Linked DNA regions of Coturnix japonica. The protein of the gene in region 4 interacts with the protein of the main gene of each other region in a pairwise test. Links are inferred from orthologs where the notes say so. Each region holds a gene or a part of one and is shown on either strand. Other genes may lie near its edges. The genes, in order: TSPO, SLC35B4, FAM3C, CREB3L1, TMEM11, PLP1 and MFSD5.

The links.
Region 1: the proteins of CREB3L1 (region 4) and TSPO interact in binary tests that used the Homo sapiens proteins (3 or more experiments, as listed by UniProt). The two-hybrid records come from large-scale screens. The link is inferred for Coturnix japonica from reciprocal best matches to the Homo sapiens genes CREB3L1 and TSPO.
Region 2: the proteins of CREB3L1 (region 4) and SLC35B4 interact in binary tests that used the Homo sapiens proteins (3 or more experiments, as listed by UniProt). The two-hybrid records come from large-scale screens. The link is inferred for Coturnix japonica from reciprocal best matches to the Homo sapiens genes CREB3L1 and SLC35B4.
Region 3: the proteins of CREB3L1 (region 4) and FAM3C interact in binary tests that used the Homo sapiens proteins (3 or more experiments, as listed by UniProt). The two-hybrid records come from large-scale screens. The link is inferred for Coturnix japonica from reciprocal best matches to the Homo sapiens genes CREB3L1 and FAM3C.
Region 5: the proteins of CREB3L1 (region 4) and TMEM11 interact in binary tests that used the Homo sapiens proteins (3 or more experiments, as listed by UniProt). The two-hybrid records come from large-scale screens. The link is inferred for Coturnix japonica from reciprocal best matches to the Homo sapiens genes CREB3L1 and TMEM11.
Region 6: the proteins of CREB3L1 (region 4) and PLP1 interact in binary tests that used the Homo sapiens proteins (3 or more experiments, as listed by UniProt). The two-hybrid records come from large-scale screens. The link is inferred for Coturnix japonica from reciprocal best matches to the Homo sapiens genes CREB3L1 and PLP1.
Region 7: the proteins of CREB3L1 (region 4) and MFSD5 interact in binary tests that used the Homo sapiens proteins (3 or more experiments, as listed by UniProt). The two-hybrid records come from large-scale screens. The link is inferred for Coturnix japonica from reciprocal best matches to the Homo sapiens genes CREB3L1 and SLC61A1.

The regions. Positions count from the first base shown.
Region 1 is NC_029516.1:62,978,335-62,982,425, forward strand, and holds the start of TSPO (translocator protein), read left to right. Parts: upstream 1-1,291; 5' UTR 1,292-1,292; coding exon of another isoform or gene 1,293-1,720; coding exon 1,721-1,910; intron 1,911-4,091. Other genes in the region: MCAT (malonyl-CoA-acyl carrier protein transacylase, mitochondrial), read right to left, coding at 96-313, 1,099-1,186, 1,293-1,745. UniProt on the Homo sapiens protein: Can bind protoporphyrin IX and may play a role in the transport of porphyrins and heme. Promotes the transport of cholesterol across mitochondrial membranes and may play a role in lipid metabolism, but its precise physiological role is controversial.
Region 2 is NC_029516.1:1,329,018-1,332,517, reverse strand, and holds part of SLC35B4 (UDP-xylose and UDP-N-acetylglucosamine transporter), read right to left. Parts: intron 2,819-3,500; coding exon 2,743-2,818; intron 2,526-2,742; coding exon 2,450-2,525; intron 1,665-2,449; coding exon 1,418-1,664; 3' UTR 1-1,417. UniProt on the Homo sapiens protein: Antiporter that transports nucleotide sugars across the endoplasmic reticulum (ER) membrane in exchange for another nucleotide sugar.
Region 3 is NC_029516.1:19,139,823-19,143,491, reverse strand, and holds the end of FAM3C (protein FAM3C), read left to right. Parts: intron 1-367; coding exon 368-494; intron 495-1,267; coding exon 1,268-1,357; 3' UTR 1,358-3,169; downstream 3,170-3,669. UniProt on the Homo sapiens protein: May be involved in retinal laminar formation. Promotes epithelial to mesenchymal transition.
Region 4 is NC_029520.1:21,207,819-21,212,102, forward strand, and holds the start of CREB3L1 (cyclic AMP-responsive element-binding protein 3-like protein 1), read right to left. Parts: upstream 2,801-4,284; 5' UTR 2,705-2,800; coding exon 2,597-2,704; intron 1-2,596.
Region 5 is NC_029529.1:4,563,938-4,568,178, reverse strand, and holds the start of TMEM11 (transmembrane protein 11, mitochondrial), read right to left. Parts: upstream 2,801-4,241; 5' UTR 2,733-2,800; coding exon 2,671-2,732; intron 1,703-2,670; exon of another isoform or gene 1,604-1,702; intron 1,575-1,603; exon of another isoform or gene 1,117-1,574; intron 1,032-1,116; exon of another isoform or gene 1-1,031. UniProt on the Homo sapiens protein: Plays a role in mitochondrial morphogenesis.
Region 6 is NC_029519.1:1,950,539-1,954,574, forward strand, and holds the start of PLP1 (myelin proteolipid protein), read right to left. Parts: upstream 2,801-4,036; 5' UTR 2,674-2,800; coding exon 2,670-2,673; intron 1,402-2,669; coding exon 1,215-1,401; intron 779-1,214; coding exon 517-778; intron 1-516.
Region 7 is NW_015439867.1:573,703-577,668, forward strand, and holds MFSD5 (molybdate-anion transporter), read left to right. Parts: upstream 1-1,166; 5' UTR 1,167-1,243; coding exon 1,244-1,492; intron 1,493-2,193; coding exon 2,194-3,561; 3' UTR 3,562-3,706; downstream 3,707-3,966. UniProt on the Homo sapiens protein: Mediates high-affinity intracellular uptake of the rare oligo-element molybdenum.

The DNA.
Region 1 (4,091 bases), on a different chromosome or scaffold from region 4:
ATTGCAGGCCAACAAAATAAAATAGGTGGCATTACTTTTGGAGCAGTTTTAATACGTGAAGTTGAAGTAATCAGGTGCATCTCCTGCAGCAGTACCTGTATGTGCCCTGCGATGACCCTGCTATCTGGGAACAGGTAGTTGGAGACCTCGCACACGGGGCTGTCTATGCCCAGTGACTCGCAGTGCCTACGGGCTTCCAGGCAGGCATATTTGTAGTTGGCCTCTCGTCTGCCGATGACTGACAGCATCCCACTGGGGACGGCCTCCGCTGCCGCCTGCATGGCCTCAGCACGCACCTTCACAGCACAGAGTGCTGAGGGGAGAAGGGGACAGGTGAGTGCAGACAGGCAGTTTGCTCACGCTGGGAGTGAGAATCACAGAACTGATAAGGTTGGAAATATCACTACCACCATCCAGCCCAACCATCAACTCATTTCACCGTGCTCACTAACCATGTCCCTCAGTGCCACATCTACACATTTCTTGAACACCTCCAGGGAAAGTAACTCTATCTCCTCCTTGGGCAGCCTGTGCCAATGCATCACCGCTCTTGCAGGTATGTATTTCTTTGTAATATCCAATCTGAACCTCGTAGGTGCAACTTGAGGCAATTACTTAGTGTCCTATAACTAGTTTCTTGGGAGAACAGGTCGACCCCTACCTCACTGCAACAGAGTTGCAGAGAGCAATAAGGTCTCCCCTGAGCCTCCCCCTCTCCAGACTGAACAATCCCAGCTCCCTCAGCTGTTCCTCAAAAGACTTGTGCTCCAGACCCTAAACCAGCTTTGTTGCCCTTCTTTGAACACGCTCCTGGGCCTCAATGTCTTTCTTGTAGTGAGGGGCCCAAAACTGAACACAGTACTTGAGGTACAGCCTCACCAGTGCTGCGTACAGGGGGATGATTCCCTCCCTGCTCCTGCTGGCAGCGCTATTTCTGATACAAGCCAGGGCACCACTGGCCCTCTAGTTCACCCGGGCACACTGCTGGCTGGCGTTCAGGCGGTTATGGACTCCAGTCCCTTCCCAAGGCTGGTGCTTTTAATACGACGTTAGGCCTATCAAAGCAAACCGCGGAAGCAGAAAGCAAAATTGACCCACCTTCCGCGAAGTCCATGGCTCCGGCGAACACCAACGCCGCGAACTCGCCCACGCTGTACCCGGCAGCGGCCACGCAGCTCTCCACCACCTGCACAGACACACGCGGCCGTCAGCGGAAGAGCCGCGGGGGGGAGCCAGTGTAGGAGCCGAGCGGCGGGAGCCACGTCGCGGCCCCGACGGTCGCCGTCGCCTACCTTAGGCTGCAGGTGGTTGAGCTTCTCTACGGCGGCCAGGGAGGCGACGAACACGGCGGGCTGGCAGTGCCGGGTGCGGTCCAGCTCGGCCCGCGGCCCCTCCAGGCAGAGCGAAAGCAGGTCGTAGCCCAGCACCTTCTCGGCCAGGCGGTACATGTCCCGCACGCCGGGGTAGCGCAGCAGCCCGCGGCCCATCCCCACGAACTGGCTGCCCTGCCCGGGGAACAGCAGCACTGTGCCCTCCCGCGGAGACCGCTGCTCCCGCCTCCCCCCCGCCGCCTCTCCCTCGCCCGGCTCCTCGTCCCCCACCGAGCTCTGCAGCAGCTCGCTCAGGCTCGCCGCCCGTTCCCCACCGCCTCGGAGCGAGCTGCCCCGCCGCCGCGCTGCGTCGCGCAGGACGCCGCGCCCGCTGCAGCCAGCGAGCCGCCATGTTGTCGCGGCCCGGCTGCCCATGGCCACCGCCCGCGTTGCCCCGGGAACCGAGCGGCCCCGCCGCCCACTGCTCGACCTGCGCCGCGCCGTTCCGCGGCCCCTCCTCGGGGCGGGCCCCGCTAGCGGGTGGGCCCTCGTTGCAGAGGCGGCGGTGGCGGCGCGAGAGCGGAGCGGAGCAGAGCAGAGGTGAGGGGGGATGCGAGCCCTGGCCGTGGCGGGAGCTGAGGTTGAGCCGCTCCTGGCCCCGGCAGGGGGTGGGGGAGGCGGGGGGGGGGGGGAGGCGGGGAGGCTCGCGTGCCGCGGTGCTGGGAGCCAGAATGGTACGACGACTCCTAATGGGAAGTTTCTTCATGGGCGCCGGGAGGGACTGGGCTTTTTTCTCTTTAGATTTGCAGGTGGTGGCTGTGGAACAAAACGAGGTGCTCAGTATTTGAACGCCCAGCGGCGGGGTTACTTCACAGATAGCGAGACGTGCCACGGCTCAGTTGTAGTCGTGCCGTCATTTTGAGTGGCTGAAGGTTATGAAATGGTACCACTCAGCGCCTCAGGTTGGGCGGGCGGCTCCGCGACGCCGTGCTGCTTAGCTGGGCGGAGAGGAACAGACCCGAGCTGTGCTGAGTGCTGTTGTCTTCCTGATAGGGACGACTTGGCTCGCTTTTCTATCTCTGTGCTGCACCGCTCTCTCGGTTTCCTCGGTTGTTGGGGCTGCGGACCCGTCAGCAAGCAGCTGTGGTACAGAGGGGCCCGTCCTGCTCCTGGGGAGCCCCCAGCTGCTGAGCCCGCACAGAAGCACCGCTCTCCCTTTGGTTCCGCACGAAGGGCGCTGGCCGCGTTGCACAGTGACTGGGGCTTAGCTGTGGGCCGCCAACAGCCCTCCGCTATGGAGGCAGGCCTTGAAGGGGTTCTCTCACACCCCGCTCTGTCTGAAGAACTCCCAGGCCTGCACAGCATCTACATGGGAAATATCTGTGTTTATTACATACACGGATGACGATTGAGAAGCAGTGGCAAAGGAAGATTATCTAAAAGGTGCTTTGTCTCTAAATACAGCCTGTTTAGAGGATCTTATACAAATGTACGTGGGGAAAGTTAGAAGAGATTGAGCAGTGAATGGCAAATTGTCAGCCAGGTGGATCCTGTCCCAGCGGGCAGGGCTGCCTCTCAGTGTGTGGGTCAGATTGTTTCAGCGCATCATGGCTTTGCCATCTGGAAAGGATAAGAGTGCTTTGAGGCAGCAAAGTTCTGTACCACGTGCTGTGACAAAACTTTGTCTTCAGTGCCATGGTTTCCCAGCAGCTAAAGCCACAGCAGACCTAAGAGGTTTATCGCTATCCATCAAGCGTGCACCCCTTAATCCTTTGGGCAGCTATGTGATGTGGAGCCTTTTCCCACTGAGGATGTGCCTGCTGCCTTTCAGACCTGCGTAGAAATGTACTGCCCTCAAAATAATACATTACAGAGGGCAAGTATCTATCCTGGTGGGCCTCACTCCCAACTTCTGCTGCTTTGTCTGCCTCAACGTGCCCAGGACCACAACTCCAGAGCTGTGTGGGTAACTTGGCCCCACTGAGAGATTTTCCTCAGCACTGTTAATGCAATAGCTGTAACTTAAGCGCCATGTGATTGGAAAGCCAGCACAAAGTTACTTAAGGGGATTAGTCAGAGGTTTATCAGAGCAAGGATATAGCACTGCAATGGAAGCAGCTGCCCTCCTCTGTTCCTGCTCTCTGGCAGCTCTTGGGCTGGATAGGGGGAGGCACCCACCTGGCTCTCAGAGAGCTGCTCCTTCACTCTGAAGGGCCTTTAGCAGCTCTGGGTCCTTCTTCACCAGCCTGAGGCATGTTGGCTCATCTATTGCAGTACACGTTGTTCTCCACACCCTGTTCTTTTTTCCAGACAAAGGAGAGGACATGGAAAGCTTCCGCTTCACTTTCTGTACATTGAGCCATCACAGGGAAGCAACTTGCAAAGAGACAGAAGGCGGCAAGCTGTAGTATCGCTAATTTTCCTCTTTATTTCTCCTGGTGCATTACAGAGCTGGAACTATCGCCAGACAGGTCAGCTTTGAATAGCCAGAAGCAGTATTTTAACACTGGTAAAGCAAACTGGCCTGCTGCAGCCAGATTAGGACTAAGCAGAAAATGGGCAGGATGATAAAGAAGACATCACAGGGCAGAGGTGAAGGGAAGGAACAGAAATAAGCTTCTATGAAGTGTGTTGAGGGAGTAAAGATCTCCAGCTGTGGTGGTTTAGCAGCAGAGATCAAAATGTCTGCATGCTGCAGATACCATCCACAGACAGCATGGTTTCTTCAGTATGCAAATCAGTATGCAAAAGTACTGTATAACCAGCTCTCCCTGCAGTGGA
Region 2 (3,500 bases), on a different chromosome or scaffold from region 4:
GTAACCACGGTGCTAAAGGAAAATCAAGACAAAAAAATCCATGCATGTGCTCCCTTCCTGCTCCAAGACCAAGAAAGACAAGGCTGCTCACCAACCTTTGCTCTGCCCAACCATGACCAGCTCCTAGAACAGCGCTGCTCTTCGCCTTGCTGGAAGACATACATCCAAAGCTCTTGCAAGTTTTCCAGATGTCATGCAAGAGGTGATGCTATGGGACACCTGTCCTGCACCAGGTGGATGCATAGAAATGTCATGAGTGAAGCTGACCCCCAAGAAATGGAAGAAGGAAAGAAAAGGGGAGAGCCAGCTGAAGGGACGGGAAAACCAGCCCCTCCTCAGCAACAGAATTAAGCTCAGCTGTTCTGGCCCTTCTGAAATTCCTTGGCAATGTTTGTACCCTGAGGCGTGTAGTGATAGAGCAAGGGGTAACCGTTCTAAAGTAAGAGTTATATTCGGTGTTAGAAGGAAATTCTTTACTCTGAGCATGGGGAGGCACTGGAATAGACAACCCAGAGAAGCCGTGGAGGCCCCATCCTTCAAAGTGCTCAAGACCAGGTTGGATGAGGCTATAGGCAACCTTTCTAGTTGGGGGGGGGGGTTCATAAAAGGTCCTTCCCAAGCCAAATTGCTCCATGATTTTACACTGAAGTGTCCCAGGCACACAGCACGACTCACTGCAGCAGTAGGTAGCAAATTCACCTGTGGCCACACTTAGGATGATGGAAAAAAGGAGGAAGATGTGGCTGAAAAGTGACCTGCACTAAGTTCTACCAGAAGCAGGAACCCCTAACACCCTCCACCTCATTAGGTAGCAGTGCAATATCACGATATTTAGTGACAGGAGCTTGGTGGCTTGGAGGTAAGTCCCCAAAGCCACTCTTTAGTAGTCTACCAAGCAGACTGAAGAAGGTGGAAGCTATGGGGTGTAACCAATATCCTCCCAGCATGATCAGGCAACAAGGACTCAAATTAAAAGCCAGGCCTGGCACTTCCAGTGTAACTAAAAACCTGCTCCATAAACAGCAGCGTCTGGTGGCTCTCTGGGGCTCAGCCATCCACTACAGTAACCTGGCTGTTAAAGGACGGCACCAAATGGGCTCAGGGTTCAGCTCAATGAAGCTGAGAGGACTGCAGAGAAGCACAAGGTTGGGATCCTAATCAAGAACCGGGTCAGCTTTAAAATTATTTAAAAGGGAAGGAGTTGCATAACAAAATGCACCATCTCAAAAGTAACCATATCCTCCCACCACGATCCATTATTCCAGGCAGGTTCCCAGCAGAGGCTCCACGTTTCCCAGGAGCTTGGCACAGCCAACACCTCCCCTGTGTTATAAAAAGGAACCCCCTTTCAGGGAGATTTCCTGCTGCTCTGCTCTATAAAACAATAAAAAGGTCCCTCCAGAGTGTCCCCCAGCTGCTATTCCGCCTTCGGCCTCTTCCTCCAGCGAGCCAGGAGGGGCCCGAGGCTGTTCCACACCTCTGTGTACATGAGAGTCCCCACAAAGACGAAGGCAGTGCCCAACCAGTGCCAGGCCGTGAAGGGGTTACGGAAGTAGAGGATGGAGAAGATGAGGCTGACGAACTTGCGCAGCGTCACCACCAACGTGACGGTGAGGGAGGTGCACTCCGTGGTGAGGATGAAGACGCCCCGAATGCAGACGTATCTGGGTGGGTGGGAGGTTAGGGAGCATCAGAGCTACAAAGGGAGGTTCTCCTAGCCTCAAAAAATGCAAAGGTTTGGGCAGTGGATAACCCCAGTTTGGTTACAGAGAGAATAAATGTCCCTTCTCAGCTCAGCTGTGCTCTGACCCTCAGGGAAACCCCTGGATTCTCAACATCCCCTTCAGCCTGCACTGTGGGAAAGCAAAACTCCTCCACTACAGAGTAGCCAGAGCTGATGTGCTAGCAAAAAGTTAATGGCAAACAGGGTTTGCAGTTCTTGCAGTGGGGCAAAGGGAAACTAAAATCAGACTTCTTCTGATCTACTACTAGTTACAGATGGAGAAGTCCCCTTTCCTCCCTAAGAGGGCAAAGGAAAGGCTTTGAATTGGTCTTATGGAGGAGCATGAGCAGCTATAAGGCACACTAACTTGTCAGCAGTGAAGAAATTGGTAACTGAAGGGCCCCGTTTTCCAGGGTATCTTGGCTTCATCAGACTTGCAGATCTGCCCTTGCTGCCATGGGCATGAATGGCTGTTATCCTTTCTAACGGCTGGCAGAACCACTGTAAGCTTTTACCAGCCAGCCTATCCCTGGGGAGACGGTGGCAGATTTCAGCCAACCTGGAAAATACCCTTAAGTTCCAGGTTGAATTCCACTCTGTATTTTCCAAGATCAGCTCCCAAAAAGCAGGGGAGGCATTAAGGGTTCGGCATCCCCACCCTATTCCACCTCTCCTATCGTGCTTCTATCTCCAGAGCTTGTCTCAAGCTGCACATTGGAAGGATACTGAGTGATGACGTTCATGAGGAGGTAGAACCACATGATTGGCATGGTCAGCCCAATCACTGGGATCTGGAATGGCTCTGTGGGGAGGAAGGACAAACAGGTCTCTAAGCAGCAATTAGCTCAAGAAAAATGCATCTGCTGTAGGCACACAAAGTGTGAGCCAGGAGGGAGCAAGGTTTGATACAAAGAGAAGATGCAAGGAGAGAGAATGTCTCTTTTGTCCATGAATGACAAAAGCTTCATCCAGAGGACAGAAAGGTACAAGAACAAGGCTCCCATCCATGCAACACTCACCAGACTGGCTGAAGAGAACTGCATGGTGGTAGATGTTTGGGGCCAGGAGAATAAAGCCAGGGAGTGGTAACGCATGCTGGAAAGAAAAGGTAAAGAAAGACATGATGTTAGTAATTCATGTGAATCCACTCACTTCTTACTGAAAAATCAGCCTCACACATCTCTGTGGATTCGAGCTTCACTGCTCTACCCTCACAGAATGTGATCCTTTGGATTTCTGCCCCAGGGATATTGCCTGTTTTCAACATGCTCTGTGAGCAGCAAAAAAACCCTCCTCCTTCCAGGAAGCAAAGGGGGAAGATGGGATCATGTAATCACAGAATGGCTTGGGTTGGAAGGGACCTCAAGGATCATGAAGCACCAACCCCCTGCCACCAAACTCCACATTGAATACCAGCCCAGGCTGCCCAACGCCCCATCAAACCTGCCCTTGAACACCTCTAGGGATGGACGGGGCATCCACAGCCTCTCTGTGCAGCTGTTCCAGCACCTCACCAACTCTCTCTGTGAAGAACTTCCCCCTGATGAAGAAGGATCTACTACAGCCCAGCTATACAGGCTGTGAATTTCATCAGTCTGCTTCTCAGCAGGGGAAATTCAGAAAGCCAGACCTCCCCCCCCTTTATAAAATTCACCTCCTGGGCTGCACCTCCAAAGGAAACTTCTGGAGTCAGATGACTACACATAGCTGAAACCACCACTATCATTTGAAGCAGCTCACAGGGCTGCCTGTGTGGATCTGAGTGCCAGGTGGGTCT
Region 3 (3,669 bases), on a different chromosome or scaffold from region 4:
TGTGTATTTAGGTCATTCTTTTAACCTAAGAGAAGTATTTAGGCTTCAACTTGAGTCTTTAAATAATGGTTATGTTAAAGATAGACTTTTCTTAGTTGCTTAGGGAATTGCTAACATTATTTGAGTTATATATATAAATTCTCAAAAGATGGGGTTCTTAGTGGTTTTATACTATTTGCTGCAGATAATATCAAAGAGCAGAGCTTATTAGGTCAGCTGATTACAGAAACTAGCCTTATCTGATTTTGAAAGATAGATCTTTCCTAATATTGACCGACTTAAATTGTATTTAATCAGATTGAAGCTGAATGGTGCATTGAACAATGAAAGCTTTGAGAATGTGTATTTTTTATTTTTTTTTCCCAAGGCTTAATGAGGAAGCACGGAAACTGATTGCTGAACTAGGAAGCACATCCATCACTAACCTTGGCTTTAGAGACAATTGGGTCTTCTGTGGAGGAAAAGGAATTAAAACTAAAAGTCCCTTTGAGCAGGTCTGTGACTTCTTATGTTCTGTAACTTATGTTATGTTCTACAACCTCAGCAGCTTCCATTAATGGAGACATAGCCTGTTTTATACCACGAGTTTACTCAGAATGGGTATCCACTGCAATAGTGGCACACGGTGTTATCTTCAGTTTTATTTCTTTTCTGTTCTTTCTTTTAAATGTGCAACGGGGTGGTAAGTCTTACTTTGGTAGGTGTTAGTATCCCAGTAACCAGATGAATTACCTTAAGTGAATTCAGTGAAACTGAGAATTCAAAACTTAATGCTGAAGAGTCATATTTTGGGCCCACTAATCTCTGACAAACAGGTTGTTAAGGTGTTGGTTAAACTTACTTCTGTCAGGAATTTTTGCTGCCGTAGAAGAACTTGTGAAGTGAAATACGTTCCCATACTTAAGTAGCTGCAATTTAACATGTGTTGTTGTCTCCTTTAATTACCAGTAAAGGTAACTTTGTACTTGGTGAGCAAGTGTGTAGGACTAGTGCAGAAGCAGTGGCAGACTCTTTAGGTAGTAATGCTTTGTCTGATAATAGAGAATGTTTTCTCTATTACGGCGTACTTGCTTTTAGCATACGCTTGCCTGAACAATTTACTGTACTGAGGATTTGTTATATTTGATGATCTTTTAAAAAGCTCAAGAGGATACTACTGATGTCTTCTCTTTTTCTGTCTTAATAAGAAGTACCTTTCATGCTGTGACTTAAAGCAACATGGTAGAAGACTTCATATTAACAGTCAATTAATACTTTCTATTTGCAGCATATAAAGAACAACAAGGACACCAACAAATACGAAGGCTGGCCAGAAGTTGTTGAGATGGAAGGCTGTATCCCTCAGAAGCAAGACTAAATCTACAGAAAAGGAAAGGAAGAAAATGCACTTTCTGCTATTATTAGGGAGAGGGCTATGAAGGAGACTGTACTGTAAATAATATTTTTAAAGCATGCAGCCATCCTGTCAGTGTGTGCATGAGCACTGACATCTTGAATATTGGGATTATTTATTGCTAACACACATACAGTCCTTTTTGTAAATATGTTCAAATTAAAAGGAACATAAAGTACTTTCTAAACAGATTTCTTAAAAGCACAGTATTTAGTTTGCCTATGGTGAGTATCTTGTAGACCGACTGGCTAATAAATTGCATATGCCAATAATAAACAGATCTGGACAAATGTTGTACTGTCTTCTAACATTGCTGTGAGAATGTAACCTTTGTGGAAAACATAGAGATAAGTTAATAAAGAGCTTTAATTTTTTTTATCTTCTGCCTTTTTAATGGCAGCATCACTTTTTATTGAAGCTAATTTGGTTATTCTAATACCGAGTGCTAAAAAAATTTATTTTGTAGTCTCCCACCAAAACTGGATAATCTGCAAAGAAGGAAAACATGATAGTGAAATACAGATATACCATGAAAAGCACAATATAAGTTTTTTTTTTTACTAAGGGAAGAGCAAAGTAAATGTGTAAATAGTGTATGTGATACTTAAAAGCAGCTTGGAAGGATTGTTGCTCAGCTTGAAAACTGTACTTCCTGTGTAGAAGAGACTCGGCATGTTAAACAACAGTACTCAAACAAGTGACTTGTTCATTTTTTTTTTGGTAACAGTTTTTGTACTGCTGCTTAACCTCTGAGTCTACTTATGGCTATTCAGCCCTGCTGGCTAGTCACATAGTACATATGTGTGTGGTGGGGTGCCTTCCTGCTGTAGTCGTAAACCTAGAAATAAATTTTCTATTGCAAAGAACCCAGGGGAGAGCATTCTGCCTTCTAGTAAGAGTTGTCCAGGGTACAGTATTATGAGTCTTTACTGCCTGTGTTACACCTAATGTGGGGTCATATGTGCTTACAGTGATAGTAGAGAAAGCATCGCATCTTTGGTTATGCAATCTATAGTATTCGAACTTAAGTGATGATGCATCTTCATTTTTTTTCAATGCAAAAAAATTAAAGGACCAAGTTGAAGTGGCCTTATTCTTCAGCTCATGTCAGAGCTGTCAGAAAACATAGCTCCATTTTTATGTAGGGCCAGCTTGAACTTTCACTGAAAGTAAGTTAGCATGTTATAAATTAAATTGTTGGTATAGGAAAAAAAAAAATAGGGGATGTTACAGAATTGATTGTAATCTCTTGGAGTTTTATGTCATGATTTCTAGTTTAATCTTCAGAAACTTCCAGCTAGTACCATGGGACTACAGCCACAAAGGATTTTTCAGGAACCCACAGTGTAAGTGGCACTCAAATGTTCCTATTGTTGATAGGTCTTCTGAAATGAACTCAATTGTATGCACTAAAAAACAAGTCAAGCAATATTGGGAATTGCTTCTCAAGTCAAATAACCTGTGATGTCAAACTAAGACTGGACTCTGAGCTGTTCTGTACGTTTAAGTAGTTTGTTAAATAATGTGGCTTTCACTGAAGTTTAATGTAGAGCAGCAATAAAAGATCCTTATGTGGTGAAATTGTTTTTGTTAAATCTTTCAGATTCTCTTGTTTAGGAGGATGTGTCAAAATCATATGTATCTTTTACATCAAATGAGTAAAACACCTCGTTTCTATCCATTCGATAATAAAAGTTATTTCATAACATCAGGTTATTGTGAAAAACTAATTGCAAAGTCCTGGAATTTTCACATGAATAAATTATTTGTAAGTAAGCTGGTATTGGTTATGCTGCTATCTAAGATAATAGTAGAAGAATTTGGAAGATACTTAGTAGAGACTTAAAGGTGGGAGAAGTGGTTGGTTTGGTGAGGGCAGGGTGGGGGCTGCACTGAGGAAAGCTTTATTGTTTCCTTGCACTACTATCTTCTATGGAATGTAGTGGAGGACATAAAGGAAGCCTGGCTGTAGTTCTAGCTTTTGTCTTTAGATTTGTGCCGCCTTCTTTTTTTCTGGCCATCTGAAGCAAGCATGAACAGTATGAAAACCTGTTAAAGCTGAATCTGCCACAAAATATTTAATTGCTGCTTTTAAAGCAATAAGCAGTTTAATAATTGTTCTTAAATCATTTAGTTCTTGTGAAATCTCCCTCTCTTTCCCCCATTCTCTAACTCATATCATCACAGCTGCATCCTTTCATTATATTAAATCATTCAGTTATACAAATGAGCTCGTTTTAGCCATGAAAATGAGAACAGAAAGGAGATCCTGTGAT
Region 4 (4,284 bases):
TTGTCCAGACCTGTCTTAGAAACCTCCAGGGCTGGAGATTCCACCACACCTCTGGGCAGCCTCATCCTCTCCTGTGTCCTCACAGTGATAAATTGTTTCCTTATACTCAGTCTAAACCTTCCCTGTTCTGATTTACGAGCGCTGCCATGCACTTATGTAAAGAGCCTGGCTCCACCTTCTCAGCAAGCTCCTCACAGGGCCAGCAGGCTGCTGCTGGGTCCCACTGTGCCTGAGCTCCCATCTGTCCATACTGTTATGCTCCTGCTGAAGCTAGCAGCCCCCTATGCACTCTGCTGGCCCAGGGCTGCCCAGTACCCCCAGCACTTCTTTCCTCCTCTCAGCCTGTGAATGCCAGCCTGTCCCAGTGCAGGAGCTGGTCCATCCCAGGAGCAGCAGTCAGTATTGCTTTGCTGCATGTCCCAAAGCTCCTGCTGAGCCATCCCTACAACCTGCCTGGCTTCCTCTGAATGCCAGCCCCCTTAGGTCAGACTTTGTTCTCTGTTTCAAGCACACAGAAATCTTTGAGGTACAGAGGTTCACATGTACGGAGGTACTGTCCTAACTCCTTCCTTACTTCCATCCTTACTACAGTCATGATTTCAAATGAACAACACAGAGAACCATTTCTAAAGAAAGGAGGTGACTTATTAGGAGAGAGAGGGCTCAACAGAGGTGAGTGGTTCAGGGCCATATAATCCATGTACCAAGGAGCACAACCTCTGCACTGAGCATCACTCGTCCTTTCTTTCTGCTTCTGTTCTGAACAGAAGGAATCACCCCCAGAACCAGCCTCATACAGGCATTTTATGGCCAAAATTCCTGGCTCTTCTAAGAAAAATACTTGCTGAACAATATCTGGAAGATTTGCCCATCTATGAAGCAAAGGCACTGGCAACTCTGTGAGCTATTGTGCACGGTGATGCTCTGCACAGCTCTGTGTGAAAACAACTCAGCACATCTCTGGATCCTGGGAAGTTTGCTGCACTTAACAGGAGAATGTCAGTGTATTCATCCTTCCCGTGTTGTCATGCAGCAGAGGAACAAGGAAGCTGATGCACTATGTTCTGGTGCACGTATCAGCTACAGATTCAGTAGGTGGGAAGCAGCTAAGGAATCTCCCCTGCTTATCTGGGAAGGGAAGGGAAGGTGTCTGCTGGACACTCACACTGCAGCAGAAGTCAGCGGTGCTGGCAGCAGGTGAGAGATCCACACAGCGTTCCTTTTTCTAACTGTGAGCTGAGGACAGCAACAGCAGAGCTGCCACAACTGGCTGCTCCTGCCCGTGGTCACTGCACACGGTAAGCACACTGTCCTGGCAGGTGGCACCAGATGGCACTCTTACAAAAGGCTTCTTTTTCTCATGCTCTGTTTGCAGGCACAAGTTGTGTTTGAACTACAAGGAGGGACCGTCTACACGGGTGAGGGTTTTCCTGCCTTCTGCTTGCAGTCTGTGTTGCACAGAGGTCAAAGGACTGGTGCCAAGACAGAGTATTATCACGGAGATAAGAGAATAAGCAGTCCTGGCACAAAGCGCTCCAGGTTCAGCACAGCTGCACCCACGAGGGGTGTACAGTGAATAGGGGAAGCACGAAGCTCTGACCTGCTTGGAGCAGACAGGGCCTTGCACAGCTCCACTGCTGCCACTCCCAGGCACGGCACTGCCTTGCAGTAGGAGCTGGTGAGGCCCCTGGGAGACGAGGCCGCCTGCGTAATCTCTTTCCCAGACCCAATGCATCTCCACACCCCGAGTGTGCTGCACTTCACATCTATGCAAATTCTGCATCTCTACTTTCGTCTCCACGTCGGAGGCAGAGCAAAAGGCTTTGGCTATCTTATGTGCAGCAGAGAAGAAGCGGAGTTAGCCAAGGGCTACAGCCCTCCCCTCCCTGCCCCCTGCAGCGGTGCTGTGGTGCTGGCATCCCTTATCGGGATGTCCTCAGGGATGCTCAGATCTGTACAGGAACAAGGGAGGATGCTCCCCATCTCACCGGACCACCCGAGCACTGGGGCTCTTCCTCTCCTCCCCCAGGGCAGAGGGGCAGCAGATTTGCAGCAAGAGCTCACCGGGACGGCACAGCTCCCGTAGCCCAGGCAGGGCAGCGAGGGAGGGAGCTGTTGGGTTTGGAGCTCGCAGGGCTCCTCGGGAGGCCAGGCAGCTTCCTTAGAGGTGAACAATGCCCCTCTGGTTCCTTGGGACTGGCAGCAGCTCTTCCTCCTAAGTAACTCTTCCTCTCGCCCTGCACTCTAAAGCAAACCATCCCAGCCCTATCGCCGGACGGGGACGCCTTGTCTCTCCGACGCTGCTCTGCCCAAGAAGTGGGAAACAGACGGGAGGGGGGACCCCATGTCCCGCTGCCCGGTAGTGGGGGCTCACAGCCCCGCGTCCCGTGGTCCCGCCGTGCTCCAGCGCTGCTCGAGCGGAGCCCCCCCGGCCGCGCTCCCACCGCCCCGCCCCGCACGCTTCTTCCCGGGGCCTGAGCGCGCCGCCAGGGCAAATAAGGCGGAAAAAAAAGCAAGGCGAACGAGAGCCGCGGGCTGGCAGCGGGAGATCGGGACGGGCATCCCGGGCTGGCCGCCGCCGGGCAGCGCCCCTTACCACATTGCTGAGGAAATCCGCCTCGCTGAAGTCGCCCAGGTCGAGGAAGCCGGGGCCGGCGGCGGGGAAGAGCCGCTCGGCGGCGAAGGGCTCCAGGATACTGTCCATGGTGCCCGCGGCTCGGGGCTCCGCCGCTCCCCGGCCGGGCTCACAGCGGCGGCACGGTCCCGCCGCCCAAGGGCCGGCGGCAGCGGTCCATGGATGGGGCGGCGGGGCCGGGTGGGAGCGGGCCGCCCGCGGGCGGGGGAGCGCCGGGGAGCGCCGCGCCGGTGCCCGCTCGGGGCAGCTGTCAGTGCCCCGCTGCGATGGGGCCGGGCGGGCAGCGCCGGCGGCCGGTAGCGGCACGCCCCCGCCCCGTGCTGGGGAACCGCGGGCGGGACTTGGCGGGCCCACACCCCTTAAGGCAACGCGGAGGCGGAGGGCAGCGCTCTCCTTCCTTCGGGCCGGGCAGACCCGCACAGAGGGGTCCGAGAGTCTCATGGCTGCGCGGTGCGGTGAGGTGCGGTGAGGTGCCCCAGGTGGGTTCGGCTGTGCCGGCCGCTCAGTAACTAAGGAGCTGGGCACCATTAAGGAGCTTTGGGAAGATTATGTGGCTTAGGATAAATGGGATTATGGATCCCCATCCTCCCTGATCCTTACTCCAGCCAATACTCAGGAAAACCACTTAGAATGATCGTGCAGAAGCCTCGATGTTTTGTTGATCTTCCCCTGCTTCTGTGGCTCCACATAATGGGTCCCACTGCTTCTTGGCTGTGGGTGTGTGGAAGAAGTCAGGCAGCTGTGCTGTAATGCTGGTAGAGACCCATTGGGAAATGTCTCAGTGCAGACATGCAGGCACGGCCAGGACCCTGTGTTCCCCACACACGGCTGTCACAGGCTCTGTGTCCCCATGCATCTGAGCACAGCCCTGAGCACACCTTGGCTGCTCCTCGTAGTGTTGGCCACATGCTGCTCCTGCACACAAAGGGCTTTATGCCCATGCACACAATGGGTTCTTTCAGTTGCATTTACTTTTACCTTATGTTTCAGTCAAGTGTGAAGAGCCTCTGGGTGAAAGGGGTCGAAGACATAAATTCAGCCAGGATGGGGCTGTACTGCTCTTCCCATAATACATATTCTTATGTATATGAGGAGGAATGATGTTTGGAAACCATCTACACAGAATGGACCCTCTCCCACGAGGGCCGTTTTCTGCAATCATTCTGGCTTTGAGGGCGATGCTCCCACCTCCTGTCCTGAACTAAACATGGGTATCACCTCTGTCACCACTGTTTCTCAACTGAGCAAACATGGGAAGGCTCTCTTCAAATGACAGAGGGATCAGGCTGCTGTGGTCTAAGGAGAAGATGTACCAGCATCTCTGGGGCATTCAGGCAGCTGCAGGATGACCACTATTATCTCTCTTGCCTATAGGTGGGTCTGATTCAGAGGCAGCCCCATGATGTGGCACCATGCAGTGACTCAGGCTCCTTTCAGCCCCATTGCCTCTGATTTTATACTTAGATTTAGTTGCAATCTGATTGCAGCAGGAAACTGAAGCAGCAACTGGGTGCGCTTGGACTGATAGAGACTCAAACCAACAGCAGATAAGACTTCCTGGCTGTAAGGCATTTGGTGCTGCAGATGCGCGTGGATGACCAAGATAGCTTCATCATTTCTGATAAGAGAGCTATCAACCCAGTTCCCAA
Region 5 (4,241 bases), on a different chromosome or scaffold from region 4:
TCAGGCCATTAACCATTGCTATCAGGCTTCAAGGCCAATTGAACAGGCTGATGATGGCTGCACTGAAGTGGATGAAGAGCAGGAAAAGCACAGCGGTTACACAGGACCTCCAATCAAAGGTTGTGCCTTAAATACAAATAGGAGAGAATGGGAGAACAGAAGTGTGATCTTGGCAAGGGAAGGCAACACGAAGGGAAACATCACCAAGCCATAACAAAAGAAACTCTAGCCACTAGAGCAAAAAGAGACGTCATTTTTAAGCCAACTAATGATTAGCCAGGCTAATGGAAACGGGTCAATCATTGCTGTAAGCAAACAGAGTACCAGAAATCTGAGCAGCGCAGGTAGTGAAAGGAGAGAGCTCCTTAAGGGTGCAGAGGGACCAGCACGACCAGCAGCGATGCCATTAGAGCCTTTCTTTCTGCAGTTTGTTAGCACATCTCCAAGCAGAACAAATGGCATTTTGTCTGCGTGCTGGCGGTCATCACGCTGCAATTTATACAAAAAACCCCAAGTACAATTCAGTGTCTGTTCTGTATCAAAAGTTGTTTTGCTGCACAAATTAACAATCCCCTTCAGATAGTCTCTATTAAAGAGTCTATCCAGAATGAAGAAAAACAAATATTTAGTCACTTCTCTTCAGGTTTTTCCCTACCACCCCCACAGAGCCAGCTGGAGTTCACAGCCAATATCCTTTGAAATGAACGTACTTACACTTAGTCCTATTGAAAAAAGCACTTTCTGACCAATTACAGACTTCTTTGTATCAACGAAGTCATTGAGGGAGGGATACAAATTTCCACAGGCAGCAGCTGGACTTTTTAAAAGGAATTTATTTACTTTTAAGTGAAAGCTGGTGAAACCTCCTTGGAGCAGACAGTATCTTATTCTTCTGCCACCACCTCCCAACACACTGATGTCTTTTCAGACTAGCTGGCTGACAGCTCCAAAAACACCTTGAAGCAGCTCGTTTATGAGGAAAGCTGGATTAGCACACTCAGTTGAAAGGAATGCATCTCAGGACAAGAATCCTGTAAGAAAACCATATTCATCTTACAGTAAGCCTACGTCATCATTTGACGTCATCGGGTCTGTCAGAGCCACCATGTCCACAACCTGCACTGCCAGCAGCCAAACCAGCCCAGTAGGTGTGATGGAGAATTAACCCCTGATCCAGGCAGTGGCTCAGTCACAGGCACCTGCAGCTCTGCAATCACAAGGCAGGCATGCTCCTTAGCTGACGTCACCCAGCACCTATTAAAAGCATCTCCTGGCAGGTCTGTATGGGATGACACCTAACAGAAGCACTGCCTGCTGATAAGGATTGTGAAACATTGCTCCATGGTGGAACGTTTACACAGATCACCTGCTGCCCCACCGTGTGTCACTTTGTGCTCTTGTGCACTTAGCCACATATTTCTCATTGTAAAAGGCAAAATAAGGGATGCTGGAGGTTCATGAAGTAAGCACCTCATGTTTATGAATAAGTATTTTTTGATCACAAGATCGAGAGGAATCACAGCTTAAAGATCATCACAAACTACAATGGCATTGTACTATGGGAACACCGTATGGTTCACAAAGTCACAGGGTGCCAACTCACTTTTAAGCCTGCATCCATTTTCTTCCTGGAAGAATCATTTTCACTGAGGTCAAGCGCTCTTTCCCGTATTTGTTCTTCACCTCCCTTGGCAGGGCAGGCCTACAATGTGAGATCTCCTCACCTCGTGTGCTCAGCACTGGGGTAGGTGCCAGCAGGGGTGCAGACAGCTCTACCACCGCGCCACCGTGCTCGGCAGCATTCGGAGTTGTTTATATAAGCCGTGCTGAGGGAGTCATTCCATCAGCTCTTCCAATTCAATCACTTGCAAACTCCCTGAACAGAGGCAGCCTTTCTGTGTATCACATTGGCGCTGTGATTTTAAGGGCTGCTCGTGGCTCTGCTCAGCACCATCAAATACAAACCTCTCGGATTACAAAAAAGGAACAAAAGAAACCAAACCCTAATTTCAATACCATAACGATAAAAACCAAAGGGATATCGGTCTCCGGGTATGGCAGAGGGACAAAAGCAAACCTCGGGGAATGCTGTGATTCTCTGCTCCTCACAATGAACACGCAGCTGCTCCGGTGACATCAGCCACCCCAGGGCAGAGCAGGGAGCACAATACGCGAGGCAGCACGGTGCTCAGCGAGATTGAGGAGGGCTCAACCGACTGCAAGGACCGACTTTAAAGCAGCTCGGCGAGCAGCTCCCTCAGCTCCTTCCTTCCTCCTTTCAGCCGGGATTCAGCAAATCCCAGCGCTGTTCCCAGCCCCGAAGCAGCACAAACCCTGAGCGCGGTTCTCAGGAGGTCACCCTGGCGGCCTGGCCCTCACACCCACCCACACGGGTCCGTCTCCCCGGTGCCTCCTCCCTCCTCCGTCCCGTCCCGCCCCGCCGTTCGCACACATCGATGGCCGCTCCGACCTTCCCGCCCGCATTACGAGTCTCCCTGTCCGCCCTCCTTCCCCTCCACAGCCCCGCTCCCCGGCCGCCCCGCTGTCTCCCCAGCGCCGCCCCCGCCCTCGCCTCACGGTCTCTTGTATCCCCGCTGGCCGCAGCCCGCTCCCCCCGCTCCCCTCATACCCCGACCTGCGCCCCGTCCCCCGCCCCGCTCGCGGCCTCACCTCTCCCGGCCGCCGCTGTTGGTGCTGCCGGGCCCAGCGCGCCTCCTTCCCCACGCCGCCATCTTGGACACACTGCACTCGCAAATGTCTCCGCCGCGAGGCCGGCCGCGCTGCCCCACGGGAAATGCAGTGCGTGCGGCCGCCGGAACCGCTCAGCGACAGAGGGGCGCGCCCAGGCGAGGACTACAACTCCCACAGTGCACCGCGCCGCCGTACGGCCGATTAGGCCTCTGGGATGCGTAGTCCCCTGTGTTAGCGGAGGGGTCGGGCCGGAGCGGGCCGGGGGCTCCTGACGTTAGTGCGGAGCTGCGAAGCACAAAGTGACCCCACGGCCACCGACCGACCGACCGACTGCTGAGAGCAGCCAACAGAGCTGAGCGGAGCCGGGAGGGCGGGGGAGGAGCGTCATCCATGGTCCCGGCCTGCAACGCGGCACCGCCAGGAGGGCAGCAGCAGGGGGGCGGCATGGGCGGGGGTCTCACAGTGCAGGTCTCACAGTGCAGGTCTCACAGTGCAGGTCTCACAGTGCAGGTCTCATAGTGCAGGTCCCATAGTGCAGGTCTCACAGTGCAGGTCTCACAGTGCAGGTCTCACAGTGCAGGTCTCATAGAGCAGGTCTCATAGAGCAGGTCTCATAGAGCAGGCCTCGCTGCCATCGAGCTGTGGGTGTTTGTGGTGCCTCTGTGCCCCATCAGGAGCCTTCCTCCCATTCAATGGCCTTCCCTTACAACCAGCCATTCTCTCAGGGACTCTGTGCCGCCATCAGCACACACTGGGAAGCATCAGCCCCTCCCTGTGCCGTTCCCCATTCATTTCTAACATCCTGCTCTCTCTGTTTTCCCCAGCAGCCACCAAACCTCTGAGAAGCAGGAGGGAACATATCGGAGGGGCCGTGTAACCCGTGACAGTGCTGTGACTGACAGCGCGATTCAGAAGAGCGGCGTTGTCTCTGCATCTCCCTTCCCTAGAAAATGCCTCATTTTGACAACATTATTTCCAAGTGAGGTAATGGAACTAAATAGAGCGAACCCATCACTGCCTACATCGTCCCATCACTGTGAAGCTGTGCTTCCAAACCGCAGGACCATCCTGCACTCTGCTCTCTCAGCCATCATTTGGGGTTCAGCTCTTTCAATGGAGGTAAATAGTGCATTTGCATGAGCAGGAGGTGATTGGGAAACGTTCCCAGTGCAGTGGAGCGTGCGGTGTTGCTGGGGCAGGTCGGAGCATCAGACCTTCTGGAATGTGGAATGTAAACAGAGCGTGTTACTAGCAACAGCCCAGCTTTGTGCTATAACCCCAACCACTGCACTGTCCCTCCAGACGAGCTAATGCCAAGCTCCCTGAGGCTCAAATTGCAACCCAAGGGCCACATGTCACTTGTTATACTGGGTCAAATCATGACTGAAAAGCAGCAGTGCCCCTTCTGCCCACCAATCCAGCAGCCTTGGGATTTTTGCCTCTTGCAATTCCAGCCTCAGCTTCTGTGGCTTGCACTCATCTATAGCAAGCCATGTAAATAACGCTGACTGGGAGCCTGAGGGGCAGTGCTTCCCAGCTAAGGAGTGCAG
Region 6 (4,036 bases), on a different chromosome or scaffold from region 4:
CCACACACACGTGGGACTGACCAGCTGTGGCACAATGGTGCCCCTTCCCATACCAGGGGATTTCTGCGGCCAGCAGGGTTTGACCTCTGCGGGAGAGCAGCTGCAAAACCCCTGAGCTGAGCAACGCCGCTCTGCTGCCCTCCCTCCATGGTGCCACCCCAACCGAACCCAAAGGGAACCGCAGCCATTCCCCTCTGCTCCCCAAGGCCATTCCCAGCACTAGGGCACCAGTCTTCGGGCACCATGCAGGACAGCCATAGTGGCAGCATGCACTGCCCTTGCAGGGATGCTTGCGGCTCTGCCGGGTGATCCCTAAGCACAGAGCAATTTGTTTGGGGGCAAATGCCATGGTCAAATTGGCTGCTTTGGGCACACAGTTGGCCTCGGGGAGGGCTGTCAGGCTGCGCTTCCCCTCGGTACACCCCGACCCCCGGGCGGTCGCCATCTCCTGCCCTTCAGCCAACGCCAAACCCGCTGCAGGCGCGCGATGGGGTGCCAAACCCCGGTTAAGATCACCTTGTCAGGATGTCCTAGCCACTTTCCCAAACACTGACACACCCGCTGCAAAGAGTGAGCTCGCTGGGGGCCTCGCGCTCCCCTCCCTTTCGGGCCCCCAGTTACCGTTGCGCTGAGGCCCTTGCCGCAGATGGTGGTCCGGTAGTCCCCGAAGATTTGCCGGACGGCGCCGGTGGTGTAGAAGCCTTCAGCCAGCAGCAGGGCTCCATAGAGGAAGAAGAAGGAGGCTGTGCCATAGATGACGTACTGAAAAGCGTGGATGCTATGGGGAGAGGAGCGGTGGGGATGCTCAGGCAGTGCTGCGGCACACAGCCCCGTGTGCAGCCCCACTTACCCTCCCCAAGCCCAACACACCCCTGGGGGAGCTGGAGTGGGGTGTCACCTCCTGTGGGGACAAAGCTGCTGTCCCCAAGTGGAGCTGATGAGGGGGAGCAGCACCTTGCTAAGCAGGACATCCTGCTGCCCCCATACCTACCTGGTGCGTCTGTCCTGTGCACCCCACAGCACCTGGCGTGGGTCAGATAAGAACAGGGTGAAAAGAAATGGAGCATCTGCCACGGGGCAACAGCGCCGGTGTGAGGCTGCCCAGGGCTGAGCACAGCCTGCGTGGTGTCGGCCCCAGTGGGTGGCAGCAGAGCCGGGTGACAGCGGCACATCACGCGCAATGGAGACGCGAGGAGCCCCGCGCCGTTACTTACACATCGATGAGATACTCGTAGTCCTGGTAGTTCTTGGAGAAGTAGGTCTCAATGAGCTGCTCGGTGCCGGTGAGGGCTTCGTGCCCACAGCCACAGAACAGTGCCACCCCAAAGAAGCAGAGCCCGGTGGCGACCAGAGAGGCGAAGGGTGCCCCGATGAGGCAGCGGGCACAGCACTCCAACAGACCTGCAGGGCCACAAGGGGGGATTTTAGGGAGATAAAGGGAAAAATGCTGAAACTATTTGTGGTGGTGCTACAAGAGCAGCAGTGCAGGGTGCTGGGGAGCTGGCAGTTGAGTGAGACGGAGATGCGGGGTGATGCAGCGTGATGCCAGTGGGAGCAAACCAACAAGCTGCTAATGGGCTCCCCGCTGCCGCAGTGCTAGGGGTTTCTATTTGGGCTGCCATGGTGCCGTGGTGCTTACAGAACCTGGGATGAGGTTGGGGTGCAGAGAGCGGGCACAGCTTGGGGGCAGCTCCACTCCCTCCCCGGCGGGTGTGCACTGAGTTCCTAAAGCGCTCCGAGTGCTGGAAGCAGTCCCAAACCCATGCTCCCCCCACGGACCCTACAGAGCCTATCATCTCCTCCTTGCAAGGACAAGGCAGCCTTGGGGTCCTGGCCAGCAACGTCCCCCCCTCCCCACACAGAGCAAGGGTGCGTGGTGGCACCGAGGACAATGGGGGATTGTCCAAAGAGCAAACAGGGAACAAAGGCAGCGCTGTGGGGGAGCACAGAGACCCCCCCGCCTGTTTGCCTTGGACACAACGGGGCCAGGGAGTGGTCCTTATGCCTTCCCCTCCCAGCAGTGCACCCTGATCCCTGCAGGTCCTACAGGGATGGATAGCTGCATGCGTTGCAGCACGATGATGGTACCAAGCTGACTTGAGGGTTTTAGTATTTCTTCTCTCCCTGCTGGGAACCTGGGGGCAGTTGCTGGCAGATGGCAGGTGGGGACCAGGATGCAGCAGGGCCTGGTGTGCCCTCCAGCTTTGGGAAAGAGATGGAAAAGTGCAGGAGGAGAAAAGGGGAGAGAAAAAAGGGCCCTTGTGCAGCACCATCATGGGCCTTGTTGCACAAAGTGCTGCGGGCAGGAGGAGGGTGGCAGCTGTGAGACCCCCATCAGAGCACCCAGCAGGATGACATCATTTTATCGATGGGGAAACTGAGGCATGGAGCTGCAGGCACACAAGTGGCACAAGCTGTGATGGGTCTCAGTGCCCCGCTCTCCCTGCAGCCCTGGGTTGAGCTCATGCTCCTCTACCCTCCCGGAGGGATGGGGTCTGTCCCAGGAGGGGACAGAAAGCCACATGGGAAAGGAAAATGCCATCCCTGCTTCCTCCCCTGCCACCCATGGGAACATCACCTGCACAGCCTGCCAGTGCCAGGGGAAATGCTCGGGCTCTCTGCTCCAGGCCCCCACAGCTGTGACAGCTGTCCCACGTCCCCATACTCACCCATGGCACCCGACTCGCTCAGCTCCCCGTGCGCTCGGCTCTGTCTGCAGCCCTCGCCTCCCCTGGCAGTCCCTCACCCTGTATTGTCCCCTCTGGGTGCCTGTCCCACTCGCCAGCAAAGAAAAGGGCTCTCTGAGTGACAGCCACCCCCCTTAAAGGGACAAGCCCCCGTCCCTCCCCGCCCCGGCCCCCCCCAGCTGCACCCCTTGGCTGCCAGCCGTTCTGTGTGTGGGCAAAGCAGAGAACTTCAGGGCTTGGGGTGGGGAGGGGGAGGGAAAGCTTTTCTAAAAGGGATAAAGGGGCTGGGGGGGGGTCACAGGGCACCCACTGTGCAGTGGGAGGGGGACCCCCAGGCCTGGCTGGGGTGTGAGTGCCTATAGGTGTGAGTTGTAGCAATGTGGGATCTGTGGGATGCAGTGATGCCCCTCTGTTGCCTTCTTGCTCCCTAAGTGTCAGACACCTGCGTTCAGTGCTCCAGAGTGGGTGTTCTGATGGGAATTCTGCTCTCCTTGCTTTCACGGCAGTTCTTCTCTCACTGTCCCCATCCTTTTGGGCTCTATGTGGGACAAGAGACAGAGCTCCAATGGGCACAGTCCCCAGAGGGAGTCCTCCATGGGGTCCTCAAGGGATGGGGACACATCCAGGGATGGGGAAGCAGAGGGGGTCAGCTCCTTGGGGTGCCCATCTCCCATGGGTGCCCCCCATGGGGGATCAGCACAGGGCTGGGGACGCCTGCAGAGGGCAACAGGGCCCTTCTCAGCAGGCAGACAAAGCCCCGCTGTGTCCCTCAATGCCCTGCTTTGTGCCAGGCTGCGCTGTGGCAGGGCCTGGCTGTCCCTGGGGCTGGGAACACTGCTGGGCTGGGGGTCCCCAGGGCACCACACAGTGCCCCCAGTGCTCTTCAGAAACCACATCTGCGGGGCTGCTGATGCTCACTGATAAGGGACTGCATTGCCTGGATGGAGCCAGGCACCAGAGGGAAAAATGATGTTATGGGGAAAAAAACGATGAGCCCTTCTTTCTCTTTCTGCAGAAATTCAAGATCTTGCATTTTATTTCAACACCCTGGGGGGAAGCATCAGCTTTCTGCCATCCGGGATAATGTGAGCAACGAAGCAGGGCTGCGATTTCTGCACCAAATGCCTTCAAAAATCTCCGTAATTGGTTACTGCTCGTTAGCATCTCCCTCCCGTGTGCCCCCCCACCCCCAGGGCTGCCCATGCTGCAGGGGGGCGGCTCCACAGTCTGATTTCATCCCTTCCTTCTGCATTTTGGCTGAAGCCTTTGGGACCCCCTCATGCTGCAGGCTCTGAGCATCCCCTCTTGGCTGTGTGTCCCCGCTGGCTCCTTCGCTGTGAGGATGCCTC
Region 7 (3,966 bases), on a different chromosome or scaffold from region 4:
CGGGGCTGCCCCGCGTCCAGTGTTTCACCCCCCCCCCGTGCCCACCCACCCCTATGGCCCCTGTGTCCCCTTCCCTCATGTCTCTGCCCCATGTCCTCAATGTTCCTTCTGTCCCCATATCCCCCGTGGTGTCCCCGTGTCTCTCCATGTCCCCGTCTTCCGTGTCTCCAATTATACCTGAAGTCCCCACGGCCCTTCATATCCCCCCATATCCTTCATATCCCCCCCATATCCTCCATATCCCCCATATCCCCCCCGTATCCCACATATCCCCCCGTCTCCATCACTCCACACTTTATTGTCCCCACGTCCCGCTCCCCCTCCCAGGGGCGCCCCGCGTGGAGGGGTCACACGAGGACGATGGGGTGGAGGATGGGATGAAGGGGGTGGGGACAGCAGCCTCCCTGCCCGGCCGCGTGCACGCGTGGGCACACCCACGTGAACCCCCCCGCGCTGCTATCACCCCCCCCCCCCAATACTGAGCCCCCCCCACTGAGCCGGCTTTGGGCTATAAATACATAAATACCGGCGGGGCACGCGGGGGGGGGGTGGGAGGCAGCACCATGGGGCTGGCGTGGCATGGACAGCGGCTGCACAACCCCCCCTGTCCCCTGTGCGCTCCCCCAGAGTTCCAAAAACCCCTGCTCCACCCCCACATATTGCCTCCCCCCTGTTTGCCCCCCCCCCCCCCTGTTGCCCCCCCTCCCTTCTTGCTACCCCGGGTCCACCTCCCCTGTTTGTTTTTTTTCCCCCCCCCTTCTGTCACACCCATAATTGCGCCATGCCCCTATTGCCACTCCTTCCTGCTGCACCCCCCGACGGTCCCCCCCTGCTGCCCCCTCCCGGCTAGCCCCCCCTCGGTCCCCCTCCCTTTTCCCCCCCTTCTGTCACAACCCCATATTGTGCCGCCCTTACTGCCGCCTCTTCCCCTGCTGCCCCCCCCCCTGCTGCGCCCCACCTCCCTTGTCCCCTCCCGTGGTCTAGCCCCCCTCGGCTGCTGCGCCATCCTCCACTGTTGTTCCCCCCCCCGGCTGCCGTTCTCCCTGTTGCCCCCCCCCCCGTCCGTTCCCGGTGCTGTTCCCCCTCGGGGTCTGCCCCCAGTCCCCCCCCGCCCCGCCGCCCCCGGCCCCGCATCAAGTGACGGCCCCCCCCCAACCCCACCCCGTGGGCAGGTGAGTGAGGGAAACCGAGGCACGGGGCGGAGGGGGGGGATTTGCACGAGAACCGGGGCGTTTGGTTCAGGATGCGCATTTGTACGAGGGCCGGGGCAGCTGCGCGGCTTCTGGGGGCAGATGCACGAGGTGTTTGCCCCGGGCTGGGGTATTTGCACGAGGACCGGGGCAATTGCACGGCGCCGGGCAAGGCCCCTTCACGTGACGTGCGCCAAGATGGCGGCGCCCATGGCGGTGATGGGCGGAAGCGGAAGTGGGCGTGCGGAAGTGGGTGTGCGGAGGCGGCGGGGCGCGCCGCCGCTTCCCCCATTGAGGAGCAGGTGGGGCTGGGGGGGCTGTTGGGCGGTATATGGGGCGATATATGGGGCGATATATGGGGCTCTGTGAGGCGCTATGAGGGTTTGGGGGGGTGTCTCTGTGGGGGTGCGGGGAGATGCTGTGTGTGCGGGCGGGGAGGGGGGGGGTGTCTCTTTTAGGGTCTCTTTGATGTGCTTTGGGTTTTGGGCGCTCTGTGGGGCTGCGTGTGTCCTGTGGGGCTGTATATGGCACTGAGGGGTGAGGAGCGTCTGTGGGGCCAGGAGGGGTTCGATGGGTGGGAGCCGCGCTGTGGGAGCGGCCCCTCTGTGGGGCAGGAATAGGAGAGAGGTTCTAGGGATACGTGGGGCTGAGTGTGGGGCCGGGCTGGGTCAGTGTGTGAGGCGTGTAGGGCTGGGGGGACATATAGAGACCAGGTTGGGAACCTGCACAGGGGACACGTAGGGCTGAGCTGGTGGCTGGTATGTGGGGTCAGCGAGGGCAACGTGTAGGGCTGCAGTGTTGGGGATCAGTGCAGGGGATGGTTGGGGCTGAGGTGGGAGTCAGGGCTGGGTGTGTGTGGGGAGGGGGATGTGTGGGGCAAGCTGCAGGGATGACAAGGGCAACGTGGGGTCTCTGTGGGCTGTGGAACCCACAGGGCCGCCCTGCCCTCCATCTCCCTGGCCCTGCTCCCTCTGTCTGCTGACCCCCCGCCCGTGTCCCGCAGCCCCGTGATGCCCGGCCCCACGCCATGCTGCTCGCTGCCTACACATCCCTGGCTGTGCTGCTGGCGGCCGCGCTGGGCCTGGAGCTGTTCTCCCGCCGCACGTCCAGCCCCGCCACCAACCCGGCCTTCGCCCGCTTCCAGCAGCGCTTCCTGCGCGCCTACCTGCCCGCGCTGGCGGCCGACTGGCTGCAGGGCCCCTACCTGTACAAGCTGTACCACCACTACCACTTCGTGGAGGGGCAGATCGCCATCCTCTATGTCTGCGGCTTCGCCTCGGCCGTGCTGCTGGGCCCCCCCGCCGTCTCGCTGGTGGATCGCCTGGGCCGACGCGCGTCCTGCGTGCTGTTCTCGCTGAGCTGCGCCGCCTGCTGCCTCACCAAGCTGTCCCGGGACTACCTGGTGCTGGCTGCCGGCCGCGTGCTGGGCGGGCTGGCCACCGCGCTGCTCTTCTCTGCCTATGAGGCATGGTACGTGCATGAGCACGTGGAGCGGCACGACTTCCCCGCTGAGTGGCTGGCCGGCACCTTCGCGCGGGTGGCGTTCTGGAACAATGTGCTGGCCGTGGGGGCTGGCGTGGTGGCCACGGCCCTGGCTGAGTGGCTGGGGATGGGCCCGGTGGCTCCGTTCGTGGCGGCCATCCCGCTGCTGGCGATGGCGGCCGTGCTGGCACTGAAGGACTGGGAGGAGAACCACGGGCCGCCGCGCGCGCTGGCCAAGACATGCGGGGATGGGCTGCGCTGCCTGCTGGCCGACGGGCGCGTGCTGCTGCTGGGCACCGTGCAGGCGCTGTTCGAGAGCGTCGTCTACATCTTCATCTTCCTCTGGACGCCGGTGCTGGACCCACACGGGCCGCCGCTGGGCATCGTCTTCTCCAGCTTCATGGCAGCCAGCATGCTGGGCTCGGCGCTGCAGCGCGTGGCCGTGTCGGCGCGGTACCGCCTGCAGCCCGTGCACCTGCTGGCGCTGGCCGTGCTGCTGGCCTTCCTCTCGCTTTTCATGCTCACGTTTTCAACCGTGCCCGGGCAGGAGAGACCGTCTGAGTCCTTCCTGGCCTTTCTGCTGCTGGAGCTGGCCTGTGGGCTCTACTTCCCCTCCATGGGTTTTCTGCGGCGCAAAGTGATCCCTGAGAAGGAGCGTGCCGGCGTGCTGCACTGGTTCCGAGTGCCGCTCAACCTGCTGGCCTGCCTGGGGCTGCTGCTGCTGCACGGCAGTGACCATCGCAGCGGCACACGCAGCATCTTTGCTCTGTGTGCTGCGCTGATGCTGCTGGCGCTGCTCGCCGTCGGCCGCCTCTTCACTGTTGGCCGCCATGACCCAGAGCTGCGGCTGCCGCCCCCCCAGGGACCCCCCGAGAGCCCTGAGCTGTGAGAGTGGTGCTGGTGGTGGTGGGGAAGTATGGCACAGTGGGAGCAGTGCATACCTCTGCAGCTATTTATGCTCTGTAAAGGAAATAAAGTGTTTCCGTAGATCCCCCACCTTTTCTGAGGGGGAGGGAATAAGGTGGCATTTGACATTTGCTGTTTGGCACCGTGTTTTCATGCCATCCACGTTCAGCACCACAATGGGGCACTGCAGCCCCCAGGCCCTCAATGAGTGCCCATGTACAGGGTGGGTGTCCCCCTGCTGCCTGGGGTCACACGTGTGCCCCCCCCCCCCCCCCACGGTGTTTGTTGCGGGGGGGGTGACCTCATGGCAGTGCAGACTTTGCTCATCACTGCCCAAAGCACCAGGAACGTCAGTGCTGGGTGTGCAGCACTGTACCCCATTGTGTGG